Oryzias latipes: one gene and its partner. The protein of the gene in region 2 purifies or fractionates together with the protein of the main gene of each other region. This does not show direct contact. Links are inferred from orthologs where the notes say so. Each region holds a gene or a part of one and is shown on either strand. Other genes may lie near its edges. The genes, in order: ndufaf8 and ndufaf5.

Region 1 (3,665 bases), on a different chromosome or scaffold from region 2:
CGCCGAAGCCCCTCTGGACGAATCCGCCGCTGCCGCCAGGGTCCGTGGACTGGAGCCTCTGCTGGAGCTGGGGGGCGCAGACCTGCACGCAGCCCTGGAGGAGCAGCTGGTGGCCGGGGCCATGGTGCACTCACGGCAGATTAAACAAGCCCCAGAGGATGATGGGACCAAATGAGACAAACCCCCCAACGTCGTTGCCTTATGCTCTTTCCAGCAGAATGGCTGGAGACCGAGAACGCTTAGATGCTGTGTATTCTGAAGACAATCCAAAGAGAAACGATGTAAATATTAACTTATTTTAAGTTACAATGGAGAAGGGGTCAACATTAAAATGTAAATACATCTATGCAAATCCTATTAAAGGTGTATTTTTATTGAGCAAATGTTATATTTAGTGTTTGGTTGAGGTTTTTGTGTGTTTCTTATTTGCTGAAGTTGTAAATGTGGATTTTTTTTTAAATACTCAGTTTCATGCTGGAGCTAAAATACACATGTTGTAGCCTTAAGGTTTAAGAAAAACTGCTCATTTGGACTGAATCTGAATTTCTCAATCATTTTCTTAGTATTTATTCCTAGTTGATGTCTTAGTGCCTTCTTGGTCCGGATGCTGCAGCTTCAAACCCTTTTATTTATATATTAAAAAAAAACTCTGAAATATTTTGATGTTCCAAAACAACTTTTTAGAAATTTTCTTTATTTGTTAGAGGTTCAACATTCCAGATCTTGACTTTGTCCAAAAGTATTTTTCTATGTGCAATTTATTTCTGTACATAAGACCTAATAAAATATCAACCACTGGTTAATGTTTACAGCATATACAGTTACTTTCCAGCTCCACAGAACTGCATCAGGTAAAATATTGACAGGAATCAGGGATTAGAATAAGAATAAATGATTCCACATGCGGGTTTTCAGGCTGGTTTCTCCTCTTATTTATTTGTTGTCATCTGCCGTGACGTTTGGCCTGAAAAACAGAACCGGATAAATGATTATCCATCACAAGCATCCGTCCAAACCAGCAGGAAGATTTCTTCCTGATGCTTACAGCCTTCACAAAGCAGGTCTTTAGAGCCTCAAACTCTTTGGCACACAGGTCCTTCTTCAGCTCTTGTCTGCCTGCCGTTGTTGCTGCGACACACTTTCCATACGCTGCAGCCTGCAACACAACAGCTTTGTATTAAGAAAAACAAATCTCACCAAAAAGAATAAAATTACACAAATATGGACGGTACAAAGTTTTCTTGAATTAGTTTTCCTGTAAATATTTTTTTGTTAAATACTGAAAATCTAACTTATTTGTGCAAACAAACTTTTACATGTCTCCAAGATTTATACTTTAATGCAAATGGAGTTGAACCTTTATAATTATATTTTTAAACGTAAAAATATGTTTTAACATCGAGAATTTTGTATAGAAATATAAAAAAATAATAGCATACCTCTAATGAGTGTCAGAATTTTAATTTTGTAGTTAGATGAACTGCTTTCCATCTATGAAACATGGTGGTGGTTGCATCATAATTTGAGTTCCTATTTACACCTGAACTTAAACAGATACTAAAGTATTTTTCAGTATCAAATAATTCCCAATGAATTAGGGGCTCAATAAATATTCTAAAAGAGGAGTGCATGAAATGACAATTTCACACATAAATGTTCACATTTGTAACCCCAGCTGTGGTAAAACAGCTGGAAAATGCAAAGTAGAGGTTTTTATAGTCAACAGGCCAGAATGATCAGCAGTTATCTCGCAAATCTTTAGTCTCAAATTGTGCAAAACAAAGCTAGAATCCAAGAAAACAGACAAAATAATGCCACTCTTCTACTGATGCGATATTTAGTCACCCAAAACAGTTTGTTTATTATTGCATATTTATGTACTGAATATTTTAACCAAAATAAGATTAAGATGAAAAATACTAATTTGAGAAGGCTCACCTCGTCGGCACACTTTGAAAAGATGTCGCTGAAATTTCTCATTTTCTCCCGGCTTCTGGTCCAAACATTTGAGCCCGACATGCTGCTATATGCATCTATGTCTTTAAACCTTAAAACACATATAGGCTTTTATTTGAGTATTAGATTAGGAATCTTAGAGCATGTTTACGAGGAAAAAATGTCATAAAAAAGGCTTAAAATTCGTGTAAACTACGGGTAGCGCCATTTTGATGACCCTGTCATTTAAAACCTTCCCTTTCTACATTTTTAGATATTATGATTGGCTTATATTGCTGTCAATCTAAAGTGGGTGACTCCCCTCGCAGTATCTGATTCGTTGTCATCCAGTTTAAGGCGTGCCAATATCCGCCAATGAACGTAGAGGAGGACTCAAAGTAATGAGGGTGATTGGCTGCCTGTCACCTTAGCCACGCCCTCCTTATAGTAGCTTCAGAAAGATGAGGAACCCGCGGCTACACCTGCTAAATCATGGCTACATTTTTGGAACGATTAGCTTTTATTCAAAAAGTAAGTAAAGTTCGGAAAAAATTTGCTTCTAGACAAAACTGTTGATTTTTTGGGAGCGCGTGGCGGACTCGACGTAGCTTGACGCCCCTGTTTGTAGCAGTTACCTAGCTAGCTAACTACTAGCTTGCTTGCTACTCTTTAGCATGGTGTTTATTTTAGGCTAGGGTCTCTAAATACCCATTAAAGTAGTAGATTATTTTCTACGATTTTAAAGCTGGAAGCATTATTTTAATAAATAAAAGTTGATAGTTTCTCATAATTATTGCAGGTTCCCACCTTAATGAAGGCAACAGCAGATGATGAAAACCCCTGTCCTGGTTACCTTTTTCAGGAGATTGGAAGTATCCTTTGTTGGTGGCCTAATCAAGGGGAAAAAATGTTTTCATTGTTTTTCGGATAAGCAAAACTTGTTCCATTTAATACACACACTGACTACTAAAGTATGCCCTTAACTGCCATTACACTTTAGAAATATCCCATGAGTCCTTGGGTTGTGGTCAGTGTTTGCTTGAATACCTCCTGGAGAGACTGCAAGTCGAGTCCTGCCACGTCAAACTTAAGGTGAGAACAACATCTGGGCATAGACTCATTTCTGCATTCATCTAACTGAGTGTAACCTCTGTTCTCCTCCTGGTTATTGAAGGTGCTAAAGATTTTTGTCCACCTTTGTGGTCATGGTTCAGATCATTTCCTTACAGAACTCAGAAGAAACTCCACCTTCATCCAGCAAGCATCAGGTATAAGAGATTGTACCACTGGAATATATCATAGGTATCACGTGATAATGGGGTTTTAAAGTTGAAAAATGTCCATTTATAAGTTTACAGTGGTCCTCCTGATCCCATCCATGGCTCAGCACTTTACCAGAAAGTAAGGAGTACGGCACAGGTACGAGACTGGGTGTATTCTTTTTACCTGGTTTATAAACTGAGTTGGAATTTACTTACTAGGTGTTAATTGTTTACATTTACAGGAAGTGGCTCAATTACTTTTCACAGATTCATTTAATACCAAAAGCAGCATGTCTTCACACACTATTGCCCCTCCAGGAATGGGTGAGTAGAATTTAGGTTTACCTGTGTTTTGACTTTTTATCTTCTTCTTCCACTTTCGGCTTCTCCCATCAGGGGTCGCCACAGCGAACTAGTCGCATGGTAAATTTGGCAATGTTTTACGCCGGATGCCCTTCCTGACGCAAC
Region 2 (2,958 bases):
CAGCAAAAAAATGTATCATTTAGTTCTCCATGCCTCTGTTTGCTGCAGTGATTCATGGACTGTCCCTCTTTCCTTCTTTCGAGTTCTTCCAGACTCCAGTTGTTTCATCCGTGCTCCAGTTCCTGACCGTTTACCTCGTCTCTGCTCCTGCTCCTACACCTGGATGTGGTTCCTGTCTCCGGCTCGACTCGCGCCCCTGACTGTCCCCCCAACCACGGCTGGATGAAGCTCGTCTGCTGGACTTTTATATATGTAGTTGTAGAGTTAGATAAGTTAATTCTTCTCTAAGAGTTCTGGTAAATCGCCTGTCCGTCCTGGGGGAGGATCCCTCCTTCATGTGGGCACCCCTGAGGTTTCTTCGTTTTTTCCGGAATCCGTTTTTTTAGGAGTTTTTCCTCACAGAAAGGGGGGTCTAAGGGCAGGGATGCCAGTATAGCTTAGTCAGTTTGTTAGTTCATTTTAGTATTTTCCTATTGAACTCTTTGTATTCATGATCCTTTTGAGTTCATGTTTGACTAAGAAGCCCATCGAGACGACTGTTGTTGTGATTTTGGGCTACAAATAAAATTGAACTGAATTCAAAACAAAGACGGACAAAAACGACCACATCCGATCTGACAAGGAAGTTTATTGACTGAAGCGAACCACAGAAGATGCTGATCTCTGTGCAGGTCCTGCTGAAGGTCACGACCCGGTCCAGACCAGCCTGTGCCGGACCGCCACACCAAGCCGTCCATGAAGTGCAGCGGCTCGGTCCGGTCTGTGGTTCTACGATTGGTGGTCAGGGCCCGGCTGGCCGATCCGCGACAGGTCTCCAAAGGAGACGGTGGCGGAGCCTCGCTTCGCCGGTTTGGCCTGAAAAACAGCAGCTTCAGTTCAAACGTCTCTACAGTGACGTCATCTTCTCATCCAAAACCCAAAAACCTCTGTGGTTCTGTCCCTGCTGTGGGTCCAAACGGGGGTTTGAAGAGGCCCCGCCCACTTCCTGTCTCCTGGCTAAGCGCCATCCTTTCCACAGGGAGCTTCGGTGTTCCGTCTCAGAACAGTAAAGTTTCATGGTTGGTTCTTGTTTTGAGACTTTTAACCCCGGAGGAGATCGCCTCGCCCTCCGTGACCCTCATTGGGCTTCTGAAGAGCCAGAACGTCTACCTGAGGGTCTACAGGTGAGTCTATGAAATGAGGTTCTGTCCCGCCGCTCCATGAAGCCCAGAGGGGATCAAACATTTTCTGAGGCCAGAGCCGTGCTCGTATGTGGGCGGGGTTTTTACCTCACCTCTGACGCTCACCTGAGACTCGTGAGGCTTCCAGCCAATCATGTAGAGGATCTCGAAGGTGGCGGGCACGGCGCCGTCCTCGCTCCCATACATCTCTGAAAGACGGCAGAGTCACATCAGAAACAGCTGGTCAAACAGGAAGTGATGTCAGAGCAGCCAGGAAACAGGTGGAGCAGCAGCTGAGTCAGCAGGAAGCGTGAGGCCACACCTCCTCCAGCTGCTTCGCCTCCCTCAGGACGTCCGTCCTGCTGAGTTTGGGTCGTGTTCTGCAGAACCCTGACAAGGTTTCTATTGAGGGACTCTTCAGGGCGCCGGAGTCCCAACAACCGGAAAAAAACGGTTCCTGCTGGAATCTCTGCATCAGCTGAAGGAAGACGTTCCACGTGTTCTCCCAGACGAACGGCTGAACGGCGGAGGTGACGGGGTTCCCCCGGGAACAGCTTGGTGTCTGCTCGTTGTGTGTTGTTGTTGTGTAGTGCAAAGTGTGCTGCTGTTGTGAAACCACCTCACCTTTGTAAACGGCAGCAGCTGCCAGCATGGTGTCCCTGTGCAGCAGCGTCCTCCTGTTCCAGGCGCAGTTACTCTCTCCCATCCCTAGAGGATCAGTGGAAACCACGGCAATGCCAAGCTTCAGTTGAGGCCTGAACTCTTTCAGTTCATTGATGAAGGAGAACAACAGAAACCCAACTCATCAAGATTATTAGAATCCAGGTGATAATCTGGATTTCTGGACTTCAAAGACAGTGGAGGAAAAATCTGTTCATGTTTCTGAAAGACTTCAGCAAACGCAGCGTTGATTCACAAAACTATTGCTGGATCATTTTACATCGGTTGTCTCTTGTTTGCGTTTCTGTCCGTTTGTCTGTCTGACACTTACTCGTGCACACCACACTCGTGCACACCACCCTCGTGCACACCACAATCGTGCACATCACACTCGTGCACACCACACTCGTGCAAACCACACTCGTTTACACCACATTCGTGCACACCACACTCGTGCACACCACAATCGTGCACATCACACTCGTGCACACCACCCTCGTGCACATCACACTCGCGGCCCAGTCCTTCTGCCGCTTCTTCATCTCCCGGTTGAAGACGATCACGGAGCCCGACAGCCTCCTGCAGGCTCCGGGCCCCCCCCAGCCCCGTCCTCGTGCACACCACACTCGTGCACACCACCCTCGTGCACATCACACTCGTGCACACCACACTCGTGCACACCACAATCGTGCACATCACACTCGTGCACACCACACTCGTGCACACCACACTCGTTTACACCACATTCGTGCACACCACACTCGTGCACACCACATTCGTGCACACCACATTCGTGCACACCACACTCGTGCACACCACCCTCGTGCACACCACCCTCGTGCACACCACCCTCGTGCACACCACACTCATGCACATCACAATCGTGCACATCACACTTGTGCACACCAGACTCGTGCACACCACACTCGTGCACACCACACTCGTGCACACCACACTCGTGCACACCACACTCGTGCACACCACACTCGTGCACACCACACTCGTTCACACCACATTCGTGCACACCACACTCGTGCACACCACACTCGTGCACATCACACTCGTGCACATCACACTCGTGCACACCACCCTCGTGCACATCACACTCGTGCACACCAGACTCGTGCACACCACACTC

What was found.
Region 1: the proteins of ndufaf5 (region 2) and ndufaf8 purify together in Homo sapiens (affinity purification with mass spectrometry; 3 studies listed by BioGRID and IntAct, counting the BioPlex papers as one, with this or other methods). This does not show direct contact. The link is inferred for Oryzias latipes from reciprocal best matches to the Homo sapiens genes NDUFAF5 and NDUFAF8.

The regions. Positions count from the first base shown.
Region 1 is NC_019877.2:3,982,936-3,986,600, forward strand, and holds ndufaf8 (NADH dehydrogenase [ubiquinone] 1 alpha subcomplex assembly factor 8), read right to left. Parts: upstream 2,195-3,665; 5' UTR 2,020-2,194; coding exon 1,939-2,019; intron 1,157-1,938; coding exon 1,046-1,156; intron 965-1,045; coding exon 944-964; 3' UTR 658-943; downstream 1-657. Other genes in the region: slc38a10 (putative sodium-coupled neutral amino acid transporter 10), read left to right, coding at 1-175; AP-4 complex accessory subunit tepsin, read left to right, coding at 2,428-2,466, 2,735-2,807, 2,936-3,027, 3,110-3,203, 3,287-3,354, 3,440-3,521. UniProt on the Homo sapiens protein: Involved in the assembly of mitochondrial NADH:ubiquinone oxidoreductase complex (complex I, MT-ND1). Required to stabilize NDUFAF5.
Region 2 is NC_019859.2:650,197-653,154, reverse strand, and holds the end of ndufaf5 (arginine-hydroxylase NDUFAF5, mitochondrial), read right to left. Parts: intron 1,869-2,958; coding exon 1,785-1,868; intron 1,370-1,784; coding exon 1,287-1,369; intron 856-1,286; coding exon 769-855; 3' UTR 609-768; downstream 1-608. UniProt on the Homo sapiens protein: Arginine hydroxylase that mediates hydroxylation of 'Arg-111' of NDUFS7 and is involved in the assembly of mitochondrial NADH:ubiquinone oxidoreductase complex (complex I, MT-ND1) at early stages. May also have methyltransferase activity.